4 linked regions of the Macaca fascicularis genome follow. The protein of the gene in region 1 purifies or fractionates together with the protein of each later gene. This does not show direct contact. Links are inferred from orthologs where the notes say so. Each region holds a gene or a part of one and is shown on either strand. Other genes may lie near its edges.

Region 1 (5,493 bases):
TGAGTACAGATGGCTTATCATGCCAGAATTAATGATGGGAGGAAGGGAACAAGAACAGGGAGCTCAAGACAAGGCTTGGGGCCCCTGTGAAGTACAGAAAGATTTACCTGAGCCAAGGGGAAAAGGAATGTGGGAGGAGAATTTCCCCAGAGTGGCGATGTCCCAAACCCCTTTCCTGTCCCTGGGAAGAAAAAAGCTTGTCAAAAGCAGTTCAAAACTTATTATATGATCTAGAGGTGAGAAGCAAGCATAGCTAGGTCAGGGAGAAACTCTGAATCGCTCCTGGTTTCAGAAGGGAGGCTCCAGACTCCATGTCCCCAGGACCTGACAATCTTCTCATAGAAAGGAAGAGGATCTTCTTGGCCCTGGCCACGAGGGAGCTCAGGATAAGGGGTTCATATGACCCTGAAGAGCATCCAGGTCCTTCTGTCCAATGGGAGAGGATGACCTCACGTTCCTCTCCCGGTACAGAAAGGAATCCCTGGTGTGGTAGGGGGAGAGCCTCATGCCCAAGTGGGAGCCAGGCCCCAGTCCCTAAGGCAAACGATATCTTGTCCCAGAGAGGAAGCTCGGGCCCAGACTCTTTTCCTCAGAATCCTACTCTACTCATGTCCCCGAAAGGAATTGGGAATCTGAGGCCCAAGTCCCCGAGGCAGGAAATCTTACATCCCTAAATGACCCCTATGACTAGGGTGTATGTATGTTGTCTGAGGTGAGGTGACAGTACCCTAAGGACAGGTTCAGAAATCAGGTCCTAAGGTGGGGAACAGGCCTTCGCACACCTGAGGTAGGATTCAAACCCTTGGAGGTAGACTCAGGACCCTGTTCCACAGGGATCCTTTATCCATGCCCCAAGGGAAGGGTCTCAGGGCTCAGGCGTCGGGGGAGGAGTCCTCCTGTTTCTCAGGGGTACACCTTAAGATCCTTGAGGAGGAAGCTCAGACCTTACCTCTAGACACACAAGTCACCAGGGTATGTATGAGTCTCCCATCCCTGAAGGAAAGCTCAAGTGTCCTTGGCAGAGTGGGTCTCAGGCCCTTAAATGTAGGCAGAGATCTGTAGGGAGGCCCCAGACATGATCTCTGGGATCCCATGTTGCCCATGTCCCCTGAGGAGTCGTCTCAGGCTCAAGTTCCCAAGGCAAGGGTCATATGTCCCTGACAAGAAGCTTAGGCCCAAAGAGGGGAGGGCCTCAAACCCCTGTTACAAAAGGGAAAATGAGATACTGTATCAAGGTATGTTTCAGTCCCTTATAATTGGGGTAAAAAGGTCACATATGCTTGTGGGGTAGGGAGTCTCGGACCCCCAAAACCACTCAGACACTAGTCTTGAGAAGAAGAATCTCCTAAGGCTTCACCTTGTCTGAGACCTTTGCAGCAGAACACCACGCCCCCAAAGAGGCCTCAGACTCGGTCTCTAAAAACCTCAGTCCATAAGCAGGTGGATCTTAGGCCCTAGGATCCAACGCTGTGAGTCTTCATTTTCCTGAAGAAAGGTTCAGGCCCCTGGTGGGGGTGCTGAGGGCCCATCTCTTCTTACAAGAAGCTTAAGATCCTGAAGAGAGTCAGGGCCTTGTCTCCGAAGAGGTAGGTCTCAGCCACTGATAGGAAATGCAGACCTTTGTCACTCAGAAAGCGGATGAGTCTCTTGTACTCAAGTAAAGCTGCTGGTCCTTGGGTGTTGGTTTCGGTCCCTGTCCCCAAGGGCAAGGGAATCATATCTCCCTGCGAAAAGTCTTACATCCCTGGAAAAAGCTTAGAAGATCCCTGTCCTTAAAGGGTGTGTGTGTGTGTGTGTGTGTGTGTGTGTCAGGACCTTGATTCTACAATAAGGACTCTCAGGCCCCTGAAGACAGACTTAGGACCCTTGAGGTCTCAGGTCTGGCTATTCAGTGGTCCTGTGCCGTGTTACCTAGCGAAGCAGGAGAGGACTGTCCTACATGCAGAGTGTCTTAGACTCTTGAAAGGGCTTAGGCTCCTTGGGGATGTTCAGACCCGATCTCTGAGGTCTCCACCTTATTTGACTTTCCTGGAGGAGGAATCTCAAACTTCTATCCCAAAGGAAAAGAGCTCTTAAGCCACTGAACACAGACCTAGGTCTTTTGGAAGACCTGAGACTCCTGCTCAAGAGGGGCGCGATCCTACCTGTGTCTCTTGGAGAATTCCCACCTATTGGCCCTACAAGATGAGGTCCCAAGGACTGAAATGACGATTACAGACCCTAAAAGAGGCCTCGGATCCCATCTTTAAGTCTGCCACCTTATCGTAGGCCTCTAGCCCCAAATCCCTGGAGGGGAGGAAAGAAGGCATCTCACACCCCTACCACCAGAGAAGACTATCAGGCCCAGTGAAAACGCCTAAATCCCTTGGGGCGATCTCAAACAGCCTTCCTTGAGGCTCTTCACAGTCTGGGGGTCCCATCTGCCGTAGCCGCCCACCCCTCATCCCGCAGCTCTTACCTGCTCGACAGTGGCAGGGTCCATAGCCTCGATGCGTGCTGCAGCCGCCTCATACTCGTCCTCACTGTTGTAGCCTGCGCCGACCTCCTCACGCTCGGGACTGCCCCCGCCAACCGCGCCAACCCCGGGAGCTTGACGTCGCCGCTTGCTGTGCCCAGGCCCGGAGCAGCAGCCGCCCACGCCTACGGCACCACCCACACCCACCACCACGCCCGCGGCACCCACACCCGCCGCCGCTGCGCCCAGCGCGTCGCCGGGACCGCCGCCGGGACCACCTGGGCCCCCGCAAGGAGGTGGAGAAGCCTGTTGTGGCCGGGGACCCGCCACTGCACCAGGCGGCACGGCCAGCGCCCAGCGATGAAGTGCGCCCGGCGGTCCTGGTAGCGGGCCTTGAGGCGGTGGCGAAGCTCGCGGACGGGCCCCCACGACGCCGGAGTCACGGTCGCGATCGCCGCCGCCCACGCCCGTGCCGCCGCCGCCCACGCCCACACCCCCGCCGCGCCGCGGCGCCGGGGGCAGCGGCCCGGGCGGCGGCGGCTCGTTGGCGGGGTCGGCGTCGGGAGGCGGCGGCTTCTTTTTGGGGAGTATAGTCATGGCTGCACCGCCGAGTACCCCCCAACAAACCCGGCGCGAGGCACGCCGGGAGAGAACCCGGATGAGGGGGGGCTAGTGTAGTGCGCTAAGCACGACGGGAACGGCGAAACCCGGATAAAGGGATCGCGGCACCGGTTCGAGAACCCTCGGCGGCGGCGGCGGCGGCGGCGCGCGGGTCACGCCGGGAGGAGAACCCGGATGTAAAGTCCAAGATGAAGGCAGTGCGGCGAGTTTGTCGGAACCTTCTCTCCAAGTCCAGCAAATTTATTGCTACGCTTGTTCCGGCCTTCTGCTTCAAAGGAAACAGAACCAAAACAAGCACCTCTTCGCTCCGCCCCCTCGCAGGTTCTTGCACTACCGGGTGGGGCCCCGGGGCGCTGCGCACGCGCGCCAGGGCACAGCCCCGCCCCTTGCTCGGAAGTACGTGGGCAAAATCGCCGCCGCAGCCACAACAATTGCGAACACCAACCAATTGAGCAGCTGCGTGGGTCCTCGACGACGCCCACGGGCCAATCACAGGCGAGTGCTCGCCCTCCGGTGCCCTCCGTCTCAAATTTCAGTCAAAGTCGACACCCTGGTTCCCAGCCTTTCTCCCCGTCGGTCCCGTCTTGCTCTTCACTTTTCTCCCCGAAGCTCTGACTCGCAGTCGTCGGTACTGCGGACGGACAGCGTGGCCTGTCCCACGTACGACAGGAAAAACACCTCCCCTCCAGGCTTCCAACTTGAACGCTGTCAGCCGGAATGACTGGAAAACATCAACACTCCCAGAGCATAGCATTCCCCTGTAGCGTCACTTCCGGTCCCACCCACCTACAAATATCCTTCCGGGGGAGGCGGACACCGCTTCACCCCGGCAACAGCCTGAGTTCTGCGGTGATTGGCTAAAAGACGCCGTCACTCGCGTCATACCGACCAACCTTGGGACAGACAAGCACCGTGGGGACAGTGGTTGTTTGGGAAACAGACACGCCTTCTCTGGCACCACAGCACTCTCGCCCTCGGGTTGACCTCCCCGGCCCTATGGCTAGTGCGCAGGCGCGGCCCAGCCTTTTTTTTTTTTTTTTTTTTTTTTTTTTTTTCCCCCCCCCTCTAATCGAGACGGGGGTCTCACTCTGTCGCCCAGGCTGGAATGCGGTGGCGCGATCATAGCTCACTGCAAACTCCAACTCCAAGGTTCAAGCGATCCTCCCGCCTCAGTCTCCCGAATAGCTGGAACCGCAAGCGCGCACCACTACGCCCGGCTAATTTTTTTTTCACTTTTTTGTAGGGACAAAGTCTCGCTATGTTGCCCAGGCTGATCTCCACCTCCTGGGCTCAAGCGATCCTCCCGCCTCGGCTTCGCAGAGTGCTGGGATTACAGGCGTGAGTCACCGCGCCTGGCCAAGCCCAGCCTTTTTCTAAAACTGAGTTTGCTTGGGTCGATCGAGGTTTATGAATCAGCTCTGTCACCAGTCAGCGTCTCGAAATGGGGTTGGCAGAATCCCTGCTATTGAGTAGCTGGAGAGCTACACGCTAATTCTAGCTCTGCGCTTCCTGTCTGATTGATCTTTGTCAGTCATTTAACTCCCACCCCGTCCTCAATTTTTGTTATTGTTGTTTACTTTTTTATAGAACGCTTCACGTATTTGCGTGTCATCCTTTCGCATAGTGCCATGCTAATCTTCTCTGTATCGTTCTAAGTTTAGTATATGTGGTGCGAAGTGAGCACCCATCCTCAATTTCTATTCTATAAATTGGCAATGATAATTCCAATCTGAGGATCAGAGATTAATGCTTCTGAAGGGCCTGGTGTTGTGCCCAGCACATAGGAAGTGTTCAATAAAGTAGTCTGCATGGTGGTGCAGTGGAAGGATCGTAGGCTTTGGAGCCAGAAAGACCTCAGTTCCAGGCACAGATGGACCATTACCAACTGTATGATCTTGAGCAAGTCATTGTGTTGCTTTTGAGATTACCCGTGTGTAAAACGGGAATGATAATGCCTGCCCAGACTACCTCAGGGAATGGTTATGGGGTTCAGATGAGCTGATGAACCAAGAAGGTATTTGGAGTTCACTTCCAGTCTTAGGAGACAAGCCATACAACAGGTTGACTGAAAGAGACCATGGGAAAGCTGTTTTGAGTATAGCCTTGCCTCCCTTCAGATACTAACCCTAGTTGAAGTTCTTCCCTGAAAGGTGTAAGTAATAAATGGGTTCTAAGTAGTGTTTTCTGCTCATGAGACTTAATGGGAGGAGGGGACTTTCATGTTTACCAGGCCTGTTGTGTTCATGGCTCTGTGCCAGATGCACATTATCACATTGAATCTTCTCATGACCATCTCACCCTAGCCCCATATATTTCACTCACTACACATCTAAAACTGAACTCAAGATAGTAATCATGGCTACCCTTCACCAAGTACTTACTATGTACCTAGCACTGAGTGCTAACAGCTTTGATGT
Region 2 (4,858 bases), about 2.8 Mb from region 1:
ATCCAGCCAGGCAGAACTGATGTTGGCCCTTGGGGACCAAATGCTGCAGTCCTTCCTAGCATTAGCTTCCTTTCATGTGCAGGCTTCTGGCATGAGTTGATGCCAGAACAAATGTGAACTGCACAAAGATCTGTCTTGAATTTTGGAAATGTACCAGTTTAATTTGAGTCACCTCACATCTGTATTTAATTTTCTGCCTTTTTGAGTTTCTCCAGTTATCCTGGAAGCATAGCAGCGTGTGTGTTCTTGGGTAGGACCCACTTGCTGTGCATTCCACTTTGCACATTGAGAAACCGGGCTCAGAGAATTGAGTGACCTGAGCGGGCTCACACAGCTGGAGACAGACAGGCTGGGCACTCCATCGCTGGAATTCTGAAGCCCAGCCCAGTTTCTCTCCGTAAGACCACAGCTGCCCCAGACCCCAGCCCTGAAAGGAACCAGGGCTTGCCATGGCTCAGACACACAGGTCTGATTGTCCTGGCTGCTCCAGTGGGCACCAGAAGGCCTCAGGGACAGTGCGATTGTATCCCTGATAAGGAAGAGGCCTGACGTTCTGAGCACAGAGTGGACCCCAAGGAGCAATTTCCACACCTGGATGGACCCACATAGGGCAGGGGGGAGGGTGGGGGCCTCTGCTTGTGTCCTCCTGAATGCAGAGCATGAGCTTGGGCCTCCTAGAACACAAACTTTGCTTGTTTAGGACAAATGGGGTGCCGTGGTCTGTTGCTCAAATGGAGGAGGGAGGGGTACCCTTAGTCCCCAGGGCAGCATGAGCAGAACGTGGGTTTTGGAGTCAGGAAGACCCAGACCCAAATTTTGCATTTTGTTTTCTGGCTTTGTGGCCTTGTCTAGTTTATGCAATGTATATGTGCCTCATCTTCCTGATCTGTAAAATGAGGGTGCTGACATTCACCTCCCAGGGCTGCTGTGACGGGAAGACAAGCCCCAGCACAAATCCTGCTGTGATGTACAAGCTGTGCCCTTCCCTCCTTTCCTCCCCCAACACACACAAATGAGTCCATCACCGGAGCTGCATAAAGAACAGGGAAGAAACTAACGTTCTTTCTGCGTCTGGGAGCTTGTGGGGGCGGGCAGGGAGTGGGGGAGAAATCATGGAGTCACGTGGCAGCCACAGACTTACTACTACTACTTTGTTAGCTCCAATAGTGTATCCTCTCAGGCCATTCCGTTTCCTCAGCGGAGGTCTAACACTTGTTGCAATTAGAGACCCCACACAGAGACCTAAGCGTGCTGGGCAAGGGGGTGGAGATGCAAGCCGACCTGACAGGAGGGGCCTTGAGTAGGGGAGGGACGGAATAGAGACGCATTGCGGAAAAGGTAGGGGGCCGGTGTGTGGGGCAAGGGGTGTGACCAAGAGGCACAGCGCATCTGTTGGGGGAGGGGGCGTAGAGGAAGGGGAGGTGCTGTTGTATAGTGTCGACCTGGTTGGTGGTGGGGTGGTGTGTTGGCAAAGGGGGCGGGACCGCCTTCAAGCGCACATGCGCATCATGGTCTCCAGGACGAAGCTTTTGTTGGGAAAGCAGGCGGGACTGACTTTGGCTTTTCAGTGTTTGCGCATGCGCGTAATGTCCTGAGGCGGTGGGTGGTATATTAGGCGAAGAGGCGGGGTCGCCCAAGCTGCCGCGCTGGCATTTTCTCCTGGACAAGGAGAGAGTGCGGCTGCTGAGAGCCGAGCCCAGCAATCCCGATCCTCTGAGTCGTGAAGAAGGGAGGCAGCGAGGGGGTTGGGGTTGGGGCCTGAGGCAAGGTGAGAATTAGCCCCCAGACAGGGCATCTGCCCCCTGGTGCGGGCCCCCATTTTTGTTTTATCCCGATCCCTTCACCCTGGATTCTGAATCCCTTTCCACCCCCCAAGCCCCAATTCACATGCCCCTCCCGATCCTTCCTGATTCAAAACCCCTGTCCGATCCCTCCCATCGTTCGAAATCCTCAGATTCCTTGACCTCGATCTGTACTGTTAGATGATTCCTCCTGACTCAAAACCTCCATGCAACTTCCCAAATGCGAATCCCAACCCAACCGCACCCCTCCTCCGCGAATTCAGAACTCATCTGCTTCCCAAACCCCGATTTGAAGCATCTCCCTGTCAGTAGCTTCTCGGGGTTCAGAACCTGCATCTGGACGCCCATTCACTTTTCCTGCTCCGATCCGTTCCTCCTCACATTCACCTTATCCGCCCGCACAATCACCACAGTCATCCCCCTCCCAATTCGGTCCTTCGTATTTGCCCTCTGTAGTATAACGCCCTGCCCCTCTCCCACAGCCCCCAGGCTCCGCTCTTGCCAGAGGGACAGGAGCCATGGCTCAGAAAATGGACTGTGGTGCGGGCCTCCTCGGCTTCCAGGTGAGATCTCCACTCCCCACCCCAGCATTTCCCCAGCCGACAGTCACCCCTCCCCGCGGGCCTCTTTGGTTTCCCAAACGCCGGGATCCGGTTTGGCCCTCTTTAGTGACTAGACTCCGTGGGCCTTTCGAATTCTCATCGTTTATCGAAGGGGGGGAGGGGCGTCTCTTTTCAGCCATCAGTCCCTGCTCAGAGAGAGGGGAGACCCTGTTAGTAGTCAGGGCAATCTGCCCAGAGAATGCGGGGTGGGTAAGGAACCATTTTTTTTTTCCAGAGTCCTGACGCTTGTAGAGCAGTCTGTCACCCCCTCCCCCAGCCTCCTGCCTCCACCCTCCCTCTCTCTGCATTCCCCACTCTGTGCGACCCCCCTTATTCTCAACTCCGCGATCCGCCTCCCGTCCTGAGCTGCTACTGCACGCCTCTCAGAGCGTCCCTGGCTCCTGTTCCTGCCCACTCTCTGCACACCTCCCCACCCCTCATTTTGCCCCTGCCCTACTCCATCCCTGCCACATGTTTAGTACCCGCCCCGCCCCCTATCGCCCCTTGCGGGTCCCATAGATCTCTGCCTCAGCCCCCCTGTTTTTGCACCCACCACCCGCCTGCAGCTCCCCTGTTGCGCTGCCACCCGGGCTCCCTATTCCCACCCCACCTCCTGCCTCAGAGGCCCAGAGATTTAATTTTTCCCCTCCTGTGTTTGCAGGCTGAGGCCTCTGTAGAAGACAGCGCCTTGCTTATGCAGACCTTGATGGAGGCCATCCAGATCTCAGAGGCTCCACCTACTAACCAGGCCACTGCAGCTGCTAGTCCCCAGAGTTCACAGCCCCCAACTGCCAATGAGATGGCTGACATTCAGGTTTCAGCAGCTGCCGCTAGGCCTAAGTCAGCCTTTAAAGTCCAGAATGCCACCACAAAAGGCCCAAATGGTGTCTATGATTTCTCTCAGGCTCATAATGCCAAGGACGTGCCCAACACGCAGCCCAAGGCAGCCCTTAAGTCCCAAAATGCCACCCCAAAGGGTCCAAATGCTGCCTATGATTTTTCCCAGGCAGCAACCACTGGTGAGTTAGCTGCTAACAAGTCTGAGATGGCCTTTAAGGCCCAGAATGCCACTACTAAAGTGGGCCCAAATGCCACCTACAATTTCTCTCAGTCTCTCAATGCCAATGACCTGGCCAACAGCAGGCCTAAGACCCCCTTCAAGGCTTGGAATGATACCACTAAGTCCCCAACAGCTGATACCCAGACCCAGAATGTAAATCAGGCCAAAATGGCCACTTCCCAGGCTGACATAGAGACCGACCCAGGTATCTCTGAATCTGACGGTGCAACTGCACAGACATCAGCAGATGGTTCCCAGGCTCAGAATCTGGAGTCCCGGACAATAATTCGGGGCAAGAGGACCCGCAAGGTGAGATCCCTGCTAGCTTCACTTTGCTTTGGGGCTCTCTCCTTTCTTCTCTGAGGGTGTTCGTTTGTTCAAAACAATGTATGTAACTGTATTCAGCTAGGCTATAGGCCATTTGAAGAGAATGTTTATTCCTGTCCTCCGGGTGTTCACAAACTGATGGGGAGATAATACATGGGCACAAATAATATATACAACCTGTATGTAATTCAGTTTACATTGTGTTAGTAACTACCGTGTGTTAAGCCTTGAGCTAGGCACATTCACACGGGTTGTCTCATAAAATCTTAAAGGCACCTCCTACCAGGTAGGGATCATAGTCCCAATTTTACAGAGAAGGAAATTAAGTGGCAGAGAAGTGAAGTGACTTGAGTGATTTGTTCAGGGTGGTACAGACAGAGCCAGTGGTGGACATAGGAAGAGGAGAAGCCTCAGTCCCCATCTTTGGTTTGTTCCTGACCTGGTTCGGAGATGAAACTCCTGCCTGGAAGACAGTGAAAGACAAACCCAGGACTCAGGGTGACCAATGGCTAGTGGGTCAGGCTGTCACTACAGGTGAGGGTTTAGAGGGCATTCCTGGAATAGATAAGGTAAGGACACAGAACCCACTGGTGATTCTGAACTTTTCTTCTCTCTGATGATACAGATTAATAACTTGAATGTTGAAGAGAACAGCAGTGGGGATCAGAGGCGGGCCCCACTGGCTGCAGGGACCTGGAGGTCTGCACCAGTTCCAGTGACCACTCAGAACCCACCTGGCGCACCCCCCAACGTGCTCTGGCAGACGCCATTGGCTTGGCAGAACCCCTCAGGCTGGCAAAACCAGACAGCCAGGCAGACCCCACCAGCACGTCAGAGCCCTCCAGCTAGGCAGACCCCACCAGCCTGGCAGAACCCAGTTGCTTGGCAGAACCCAGTGATCTGGCCAAACCCAGTAATCTGGCAGAACCCAGTGATCTGGCCAAACCCCATTGTCTGGCCTGGCCCTGTTGTCTGGCCGAATCCACTGGCCTGGCAGAATCCACCTGGATGGCAGACCCCACCTGGATGGCAGACCCCACCAGGCTGGCAGGGTCCTCCAGACTGGC
Region 3 (4,858 bases), on another chromosome or scaffold:
CTATATAGCATGTCTGAGTCCATTACTTTGCTTCATCTATATATTTCAGAGCTGCAGCTCTCTCAACATTTATTTTAAAAACTCCCAGTGCGGTGGCTCACACCTGTAATCCCAGCACTTTGGGAGGCTGTGGTGGGTGGATCACTTGAAGTCACACCAGCCCAGCCAACATGGTGAAACCCCATCTCTACTAAAAATACAAAAAAAAAAGTTAGTCGGGCATAGTGGTGCATGCCTGTAGTTCCAGCTACTTGGAAGGCTGAGGCAGGAGAGTCGCTTGAACCCGGGAAGCAGAGGTTCCAGTGAGCAGAGATTGTGCCACTGCACTCCAGTCTGGGTGACAGAGCGAGACCGTGTCTCAAAAAATAATAATAATTAGTAAATAAATAAAAACTGTTAAGGGTATACATTTGCAGAACGTGTTTGAGGTAGGGTATGTTTATACTTTAAGCCAATGATTTTCAAAGTATGGTCCCTGCACCAGCAGTATCAGAATTACCTGGGAACTTGTTGGAATTGCAAATTCCTAACACAAATCCCAGACTGGGTTTGAGGCCCAGCAGTCTAGTTTAATAAGCCCTCTTCTAGGTGATTCTGATGCATGAAGAAGTTTGGGAACCCTAGTCTTAAAATTCTAGAACATGGGAATATTATGTGATATTCTATTACAGAGTATTTTCTGATATTTAGAATGTTCCACTGATTTTAGGGAGTATATGTATTTTAACTATTCTCAGTGAATCATATAAGCTTTCAGTTGCTGCTCATTCCTTGGGCACTTTTCCCTCATCTCTGTTAGAACTCCTGTTATAGCACGTAACTATACTTCATTGCCACCCCTATAGTCTGGGAACTCCAGTATATAAACAGTGAAGACAGAGACCAGTCTGACTCGCTCTGTTGTATCTCCTGTGCTTTGCAAGACAGATGCCTGGCTCTTAGTAAGTCCTCCATAGTGGTTAATGATTGTACCTATTATAGCTCTCCCTTCATCTGCCTCTCCATACCGTAGGAAGCACTCAAACACTTGCAGTCACTCAATGAATGAAGTTCCTTAATGGTAGGAAATCTTTTTTTCTTTTTTTTTTTTTTTTTTTGAGACGGAGTCTTCCTCTGTCACCCAGGCTGGAGTGCTGTGGCCGGATCTCAGCTCACTGCAAGCTCCGCCTCCCGGGTTCCCGCCATTCTCCTGCCTCAGCCTCCCGAGTAGCTGGGACTACAGGCACCCGCCACCTCGCCCGGCTAGTTTTTTGTATTTTTTAGTAGAGACGGGGTTTCACCGTGTTAGTCAGGATGGTCTCGATCTCCTGACCTTGTGATCCGCCCGTCTCGGCCTCCCAAAGTGCTGGGATTACAGGCTTGAGCCACCGCGCCCGGCCAGTAGGAAATCTTTTTGGTATGCCAAGTTTCTATCTAATGAAACTGTCTTAACCTGCGAATTGAAAGTACTTTTGGGTGATGATGGATATGTCTGTGGCCATAATGGTGGTGATAGTTTCATGGGTGTATACTTATCTCCAAACTCATCATGAATTGTATACATTAATTATGTATGGGTTTTTACATATCAGTTATACTTCAATAAAATGTTTTTTTAGAAAGTACCTTGTGGCTGGGCCGGGCGCAGTGGCTCATGCCTGTAATCCCAGCACTTTGGGAGGCTGAGGCAGGTGGATCACCTGAGGTCGGGAGTTCAAGACCAGCCTGACCAACATGGAGAAACCCCGTCTCTACTAAAAATACAAAATTAGCTGGGCATGGTGGCACATGCCTGTAATCCCTGCTACTTGGAAGGCTGAGGCAGGAGAATCGCTTGAACCCAGGAGGCAGAGGTTACGGTGAGCCAAGATTGCACCCAGCCTGGGCAACAGGAGTGAAACTCCGTCTCAAAAAAGTACCTGGTGCATTTTGTATCGTTTAGACATTGGCTGAATTTGGGCTAGATAATGGTGACGATACATTAAGTACTTTATGAAAAATTGCCTTTAGTTAGGCATATCTACATATTTTATTAACTTCTCTTACGTCACACAACTAGTGAGTAGCAGAGTAAGAACAAGGTCTTTCAGACTCTTAAGGACTAGTATCTAGAGTACTAATGTCACTGTGGAACTTTAATGGAACTATCCATTGTATATTTAGATTATTGATTTTTGCTTTTTTCAAGGTAAGATTATATTTTGTCTTGATGCAGATTTTAATTTTTTGTTTGTTTCTTTATTCTCCTTTCCCCATCTCACCCAATTAATTTTGTTAAATCGATTTAAGAAACATTTAAATGTCTCTATTCTCACGTGAGGCTTCAGGTGAGGTTAGAAGAGCACACTACTTTTATTAGAAGCAGGCTTTGGGCTTTCTAATCAACTTCATACAACTTTAGTACTTTCAGCTAGTTTCTTTCTGAAATTGGCACATTCATGTGTACTATTTGGTCTCACTATATGGTACTTCATGTTATTGCTTTAAGCAGACTTCAAAATTTGCTTTTATTTACCAGAGCAAAAATTTAAATTGTTTTTCCTATTCAGAAATTGAGAAGATTCAGAAAGGAGACTCAAAAAAGGACGATGAAGAGAATTACTTGGATTTATTTTCTCATAAGAACATGAAACTGAAAGAGCGAGTGCTGATACCTGTCAAGCAGTATCCCAAGGTAAGGCAAAAAGTGCCTTGCATCTTTGAGTTATCTTTATAGTTACGAGAGAGTCATGGACTCCTGGGGATTGTGATGCTTTAGAAACTTAAGCCTGTGAAGCTTCTCTTTCATGCTTGCAGTACCTGTTTCTGGCAATTGAAATATCTAAGTTCTTAACTAAACATAGTTATAGCCAGGAAGGAAATGTAATAATCTTTTTATTATCAAAAAGTTTCTTTCTCTAATGACTGCTCAGGCTACAAGTTCAAAGAAAAAAAAAAATAAAACCTGAAGAGTTGCTCTCTGTCAAAAGACTAACCTGAAATCTAAATAAAAGGAAATATAATACAAATCCTCAATTGGATGAAGTTAATTTTATTTTCTTACTAAAAGTTTACTTTTAAGTAAATGCTTTTTTTCTTCTTTTTTTTTTTTTTCTTTTTTTAGGAAAGCAATTAGTTACATTTAGTTTATCCAGCGTGCTATCAAAGGGTGCTATATAGTCTCTTCTGTTCTGAGGTCACTGCGTTAACAATGTTTATGTATGTTAAGGCATGCATAAACAGGCACAGTGGCTCATGCCTGTAATGCCAGCACTTTGGGAGGCCAATGCAGGCAGATTACTTGAGCCCAGGAATTCAAGACCAGCCTAAGCAACATAGCAAAACCGTATCTCTACAAAAAATAACAAAAATTAGCCTGATATGGTGATGTGCACCTATAGTCCCAGCTACTCCAGAGGCTGAGGCGGGAGGATCACTTGAGCCCAGGAAGTCGAGGCTGTGGTGAGCCATGATCATGTCACTACACTTTGGCCTGGGCAACAAAGTGAGAGCCTGTCTCAAAATAAAGTAAAAAATAAAATAGTAAAGGTCTTAGTGTATTATGGAAGATGGCCAGAATACATCAGAAAAGCCAAATTCAGGTCTAGGAACTGCCACTTTCTAGTTTCATAATCTTAAACTAATCACTTTATTAATATGGCTTCAGCGTCCTTCAGTAAAACGGGAATGGTATTACTCTACCTTTGCAGGGTTGTTTAAAATCAAATGAGGTAATTTATGTGGAGATGTTTTTATATAGTAGCATGTATATTTAGAAATCCTTTATTTTCTGTCAGTTCAATTTTGTGGGGAAGATTCTTGGACCACAAGGGAATACAATCAAAAGACTGCAGGAAGAGACTGGTGCAAAGATCTCTGTGTTGGGAAAGGGCTCAATGAGAGACAAAGCCAAGGTAAGCTCACATTAGTGAGGCAAGAGGACATCCTAATGCGTTCTACTTGCCCAGAATGCAGTATAGATGCCTTATAGAGGCAAGAATTTTGTGTATGTACAGAATGTGGCTCCTTTAAGTGTGCATTGGGTGCAAGAGATTATACACCAAGTTAATTTACTTGCTTGGCAACCCTGGAAGAGCCTAGGTGTGCCCTGGTGATAGTTTTCTTTTGGACTTTTGACTGCATAGTAATGGACAGAGCAGTAGCATCTTGTGCATTGGTAGGATTGTCTGGGAAAACTTGAAAGGGGAGCTGGATATACTAAAACTTAGTCTAAAGCAGACAAAAGACACTAAAAGGCAAACAGCACACCCCCTTTTTTGTAACCTGGAAAAGTGAGAACAATAGTGTTGTGAGAGCAGAAGAGTTTGAGGATTAGTTGGTTTGTTTTATAGCCGGCTGGAATGTGAGGCTCACTAAAAGAATGTATTCCAAAAGGAGCCATGAGTAATCCTGACTACAGAATCTAATGAGTCTTTTCCCATGCCATAGCCGCATATACTGTGTACTCTGTGACAAGAAACTTCTCACCAAAACAGAATGGTCTTAGCCTTCTGGGGTCACTTTATTTGATGAGATATGCCTGCTACAGTCCGAAAACCTATTCTTTCAATCCTCCTTTTATGTAGCCTAATGGACACGTGTTTGTTTTCTCAGGTCATTTCTTACTAGATGCATATAGTTAGGGCTGAAGTGTGTTGTTCTAGCTAATGAGATTTACATGAGCTTTTCTTCTCTCTGTCCTGACTTCTTTCTTCCCCTAGCACTCCCTAGACCATATAAGCAGATAAGCAGAGCTCGTGGTGATTAACAGCTCTACCTGAGATTTAAAAACAAATGCTTGGCACACAGCTATTATCTGAATAGAGACTAGAATTAAGTTTTTCTTCTTTATGCTTTTAGTAAGAGCTCCAGTGGATATCTCAGGGATTTAAGATGACAA
Region 4 (5,056 bases), on another chromosome or scaffold:
TATCCGCGGGTTCCATAACCATCAATTCAACCAATCTCCAGTCGAAAATAATTGGGGAAGAAAAGGATGGCTGCGTCTGTACACTGTATAACAACTATTTACATGGCGTTTACATTGTATCAGGTACTGCAAGTACTCTAGGGATGATTTAAAGTATATGGGAGGATGTGCATAGGTTGTATGCAAATACTGTGTCATTGTATCTAAGGGACTTGAGCATCCTCGGGTTTTAGTGTCCACAGGGGGTTTCCTACAGATACCAAGAGACTACTGTATGTGTGTGTGCAAGTGTGAGCGTGTATGCATGTATGTGCATATGTGCATGTCGTGTGTGCATGTATGTGCATATGTGCATGTCATGTGTGTGCATGTGTGCATGTATGCATATGTGCATGTTGTGTGTGTGCATGTGTGTGTATATGCGTGTATGGGTGTATATGTTAGTACATGTGACAGTGCGTGTGTGCGCATGTGTGTGGGTGACTGCATGTGTGGGTGAGGGCACGTTTGTGCGCGTGTGTGTGCATGTGTGTGCTCGTGTGGGTGAGTGCATGTGCACATGTGTGTGAGAGGGCGTGTGTGTGCGCGCATGTGTATGGGTGAGAGTGCATGTGCACGTGTGTGAGCAGGCGTGTGTGTGCGCGCATGTGCGTGGGTGAGAGGGTGCTTGTGTATATCCATGTATGACTGCATATGTATTTGCATGAGTGTGTGTGTGAGTGCATGTTTATAAATGTGTGAGGGTCTGTGTGTATGTGTATGACTACATGTTTATGTGTTATATGCATGTGTGTATGTGTGTACATGTGTATGTGCATGCGTATATGTGTATGTGTGTGCATGCGTGTATGCATGTGTGAGTGTATGTGTATGTGTGTATATGCATGTGTATGTGTGTACGTGTGTATATGCATGTGTGCACCTGTGTATGTACGTGTATGCATGTGTTAGTGCATGTGCATGTGTGTACGAGTATGTGTACATGTGTGTATGTGCATGTATGTGTATATGTGTGCGTGTGTGTGTGTATACATGCATGTGTCTGGCTCCCTCAGGATGGTGCCCAGGTGGATGGGTCAGTGCTCCTGGGTTTATTTGCCCCTGGTGGCCCATGTCTGAGCCCTGCCCCCTATGGCTCTGTCTGCAGGTTCTCCCATGGGCAGGTGGTCCCTCTGGATGAGCTGCGCCCCTTCCAGGACCCAGACCTGAGCTCCCTGCAGGCCGGCTCTGCGTGTCTGGCCAAGCACCAGGATGGCCTCTGGCACGCGGCACGCATCACCGGTGAGGCTGGCCGTGGAGGCCTCCCGGGAACACCCTCCCAGGCTCCACACGTGTTATTACTGCGTGGCTGCTCCCTGCCTCCTTTGGGATGAGTGTTGGGACTCTGGCTCTGGGCCCGAAATGAGCACATCTACCCTCAGCCTCTGCCCTGCCTTGCTCCTGATGTCCAGGGTGGTTCCCCATCAGTGGCAGCTGCTGTCAAGGATGCTGACCTGCAGCTTGTCTCTGCCTCTAGATGTGGACAATGGCTACTACACAGTCAAGTTTGACTCGCTGCTGCTGAGGGAGGCTGTGGTGGAGGGGGACGGCATCCTGCCCCCACTGCGCACAGAGGCCACAGAGTCCGACTCAGACAGCGATGGCACAGGTGACTCCAGCTATGCCAGAGGTATGGCAGCAGCTGTGGAACCCAGGAGCCAGGAAGGTGGGGTCACCCTGAGAGGCTCCTGGCTTTTGAGGGCACCGACCGTCTAACCAAACTATTGGAGAGAGTGGCCACAGCGAGGGCGCCAGCCGTGCCTGGGGAGGCCGTGTGGGGCAGGGGTACAGGAGTGCGAGTGAAGGGCCGGGGTAGATCCGTGGTGGCCTTTGTCTTCAAGGAGCGTGGGTACAACAGCTACAGTCTCACTGATGGGAGGCCATGGTCATGGCTGTGGCCATGGGAGAGGAGGCGCCCGGAGTTGCCAAGGAAGTCACAGAAAATGAACAACTGATGAGGCCTGGAGTGCAAGAGGGGCAGCTCCTCTGCATGGCTTCTCAAACTTGGGACCTGGGTGCCTGGTGGATCCTGGCAGACAGAGGTGGTGTCCAGACAGCCAGGGTGGAAGCTTCGGGAATGGGAACTAGTGGCCGGTGGCCAGCTCTCCAGAGGGGTGTGTGTATACGTGTGTGTGTATATGCGGGAGGTCACCTGACCCAAGCATGGTGGGCTGAGTCCAGGAGGGGTCTGCATGTTGGAGGTGTACCCAGGGATCAGTGATGGTGGTTTCTGAAGCCCCAAGTCCCTGGTGAAGGAGGACCAAACCAAGGACTCTGTGAGGGCAGGTGAGGAGCTCACGGCCTTGCGAAGGTGGAGAAGGGCAAGGGCAGGAGAGGGCTGTGGAGGAGGGGTCACGGTGCAGGAGGCCGTGGGGACTGCCATGCACTCTGCCTGGTGTCACATGCCCACAGCAGCCTCAGTGACAGAGCACGGAGCCCCAGAGGTGGGGTGTTGGGGCTCTGCCCAGGATCTGAGCTCATTGGTCAGAGCCCAGGTCACCATGTATAGTCCTCTGCCCTGGCCGGCCACTGCCCTCTGTCCTTCTCTTGCAGTGGTGGGGTCGGACACTGTGGACTCCGGGACCTGCAGCTCTGCCTTTGCCGGCTGGGAGGTGCACACGCGAGGCATAGGCTCCAGACTCCTCACCAAGATGGGCTACGAGTTTGGCAAGGGTGAGTACAAGCAGCCCTGGAGAAGTGGGCAGAGGCTGCAGCATAGCCCAGGTCCCGCAGCCATCAGATTCCCCGGGGGTCCCGCAGCCATCAGGTTCCCGGGGGTCCCGCAGCCGTCACGTTCCCGGGGGTCCCGCAGCCGTCACGTTCCCGGGGGTCCCGCAGCCATCAGGTTCCCAGCGTCCGGCAGCCACAGCACTGCCGTTCCTGTCTCAGGTTTGGGCCGACACGCAGATGGTCGGGTGGAGCCCATCCATGCTGTAGTGTTGCCACGAGGGAAGTCGCTGGACCAGTGTGTGGAGACGCTGCAGAAGCGGACCAGGGTTGGCAAGGGTGGCACCAACAAGCCCCCCAGGTGCCGGGGAAGAGGGGCCCGGCCTGGGGGCCGCCCACCCCCTCGGAATGTGTTTGACTTCCTCAATGAAAAGCTGCAAGGCCAGGCTCCTGGGGCCCTAGAGGCCGGGGCAGCCCCGGCGGGGAGGAGGAGCAAGGACATGTACCATGCCAGCAAGAGCGCCAAGCGGGCGCTGAGCCTGCGGCTCTTCCAGACCGAGGAGAAGATCGAGCGAACCCAGCGGGACATCAGGAGCATCCAGGAGGCTCTCACCCGCAACGCTGGCCGGTAGGTGTGGGGCCCGGCTCAGGGCAGAGGGAAACCCAGGGTGGCCCTGCCCCCAGGACACCTGCGGGAGGTCACCTGACCCAAGCATGTCAGGCTGAGTCCAGGAGGGGTCTGCGTGTTGGAGGACAGGCAGTGGGCACACGGGCAGTGGACATGGCAGCCTGGGGCTGGCGGCATGGCCGGGGACCCCACACTGACTGGTGAGCCTCTCCGCAGGCATAGCGTGGCGTCAGCCCAGCTGCAGGAGAAGCTGGCAGGAGCCCAGCGCCAGCTGGGGCAGCTCCGGGCTCAGGAAGCAGGCCTGCAGCAGGAGCAGAGGAAGGCAGACACCCACAAGAAGATGACTGAGTTCTAGAGAACCCTGCAAGCACTATGGATGAAGTGTGGGACCCCGGCACAGGCTGCCCTCAGAAAGACCAGCGTTGCCCAAGGAGGGGCCGGCCTGCTGGCCTGGGGCGTGCGGACCCTGCTGAGTGGAGACGGGGCTGCAGGGTCCTGTCTGGACACTTTCTTGCCCACCTGCCAGTGTCTTGGGCATTTCCTTGGCAAGGACATTAAAGTGATTTCATCACAGTGTCATTCAGTGGAGATCAGCTGGCTGCAGGGTCTCTGGGGAGAGAAGGGTCTGTGCAGGGCTGTGGTGAGCGGTGGGCTGGGCTGGAGGGGCCTAGGAGGCCAGCATTCTCCCTTCTCTCCCTTCTCTGTCCAAGGCAGATTGGAGGCCGGGGTGCCCGCCAGGCTGCCTGACACCCACAGATGGGTGGAGCTCAGTGCTGCTCCAGCAGGCAAGACGGGCCAGCGGGCGAGACGGGTGGGAGGACTGTGGCCCACCACGTGGGGTACTCCTGGTGAGGCAGGCAGACCTGGCCCTGTGAGTTTGGGGGTTCTGTGCCAGCTCTGCTCACGTCTTCATGTGTGGAGGGGATGTGAGTTAGGCTGTCAGAACAGTGCGGGCTCGAGGCACACACGTTTCATCTAGGCTTCGGGCGGGGCGCAGCAGGTGGGTGAGGCTGCGGTGGTGGCTGCTGCCCAGGGTGGGAGGCTCAGGGGAGGCGCTCGGCAACAGGAGCAGGAAGTGATGAGGTGGGGAGCTCAGCCGAGGGCTGTACAAAGACCTTCCTCGCCTGCCCCAGACAGAGCTGAGGACCCCTGGCCGTGGGCTTGGTAAGTGCCTGGGCAGATCCCCAAGTCTCTTGGTCCCCAAGTGCCCTCCTGGGGGGCAGCTGGGGTCTGGGAGGCCTTGGGACGTGGCTGTAGCTGGGTTAGTCGGCCGGCCTGAAACCCACTCCCTGGGTCTGGGCAGACTGGCCCCAAACTCCAGAGGCCACCCCTCACCCGCCAGCCGCTGCCTCTGTGCTGCGGGATGTGCTGACTATAAGGCGTCCCCCACCCCCAGAATTCTGCTAATCCCCAAGAAGGGACAGATCCTCTGGCAGAGACAGTGGCAGACAAGAAGAGCCAGAAGTGGGGTGGGGGTATCAGCACCCCCAGCAGCTGCTGCTGCCTGCTGACCCAGCCTCCAGCTTCTCCCAGTTCTGGGCTCTGTGGCGAGTGGCTTGGGGGCGCTACCTGACACAGGAGACCACGTCTGGGCAGAGAGTGGCTGCGGGTGGCGTCTGTGGCCCGTGGCGCACACCCAGGGCCTCCCCCCGATGCTGGTTACAGTTTGGGCTACAGTGGCCACAGCTGCCCTGCCCCTCCTTGCAGCCGTGCTGGGCGTTA

The links.
Region 2: the proteins of OTUD5 (region 1) and MAGED1 purify together in Homo sapiens (affinity purification with mass spectrometry, with the first as the bait; 3 studies listed by BioGRID). This does not show direct contact. The link is inferred for Macaca fascicularis from reciprocal best matches to the Homo sapiens genes OTUD5 and MAGED1.
Region 3: the proteins of OTUD5 (region 1) and KHDRBS1 purify together in Homo sapiens (affinity purification with mass spectrometry, with the first as the bait; 3 studies listed by BioGRID). This does not show direct contact. The link is inferred for Macaca fascicularis from reciprocal best matches to the Homo sapiens genes OTUD5 and KHDRBS1.
Region 4: the proteins of OTUD5 (region 1) and ZGPAT purify together in Homo sapiens (affinity purification with mass spectrometry; 3 studies listed by BioGRID, with this or other methods). This does not show direct contact. The link is inferred for Macaca fascicularis from reciprocal best matches to the Homo sapiens genes OTUD5 and ZGPAT.

What each region holds. Positions count from the first base shown.
Region 1 is NC_088395.1:49,113,374-49,118,866, forward strand, and holds the start of OTUD5 (OTU domain-containing protein 5), read right to left. Parts: upstream 3,397-5,493; 5' UTR 3,053-3,396; coding exon 2,459-3,052; intron 1-2,458. UniProt on the Homo sapiens protein: Deubiquitinating enzyme that functions as a negative regulator of the innate immune system. Has peptidase activity towards 'Lys-48'- and 'Lys-63'-linked polyubiquitin chains. Can also cleave 'Lys-11'-linked ubiquitin chains (in vitro).
Region 2 is NC_088395.1:51,960,605-51,965,462, forward strand, and holds part of MAGED1 (melanoma-associated antigen D1), read left to right. Parts: intron 1-1,637; exon of another isoform or gene 1,638-1,768; intron 1,769-2,284; 5' UTR 2,285-2,320; coding exon 2,321-2,365; intron 2,366-2,639; coding exon 2,640-3,773; intron 3,774-4,416; coding exon 4,417-4,858. UniProt on the Homo sapiens protein: Involved in the apoptotic response after nerve growth factor (NGF) binding in neuronal cells. Inhibits cell cycle progression, and facilitates NGFR-mediated apoptosis. May act as a regulator of the function of DLX family members.
Region 3 is NC_088375.1:203,001,336-203,006,193, reverse strand, and holds part of KHDRBS1 (KH domain-containing, RNA-binding, signal transduction-associated protein 1), read left to right. Parts: intron 1-2,528; coding exon 2,529-2,653; intron 2,654-3,755; coding exon 3,756-3,872; intron 3,873-4,858. UniProt on the Homo sapiens protein: Recruited and tyrosine phosphorylated by several receptor systems, for example the T-cell, leptin and insulin receptors. Once phosphorylated, functions as an adapter protein in signal transduction cascades by binding to SH2 and SH3 domain-containing proteins.
Region 4 is NC_088384.1:119,848,459-119,853,514, forward strand, and holds the end of ZGPAT (zinc finger CCCH-type with G patch domain-containing protein), read left to right. Parts: intron 1-1,147; coding exon 1,148-1,281; intron 1,282-1,493; exon of another isoform or gene 1,494-1,516; coding exon 1,517-1,669; exon of another isoform or gene 1,670-2,592; coding exon 2,593-2,712; exon of another isoform or gene 2,713-2,928; coding exon 2,929-3,334; intron 3,335-3,550; coding exon 3,551-3,689; 3' UTR 3,690-3,710; downstream 3,711-5,056. Other genes in the region: LIME1 (lck-interacting transmembrane adapter 1), read left to right, coding at 3,711-3,957. UniProt on the Homo sapiens protein: Transcription repressor that specifically binds the 5'-GGAG[GA]A[GA]A-3' consensus sequence. Represses transcription by recruiting the chromatin multiprotein complex NuRD to target promoters.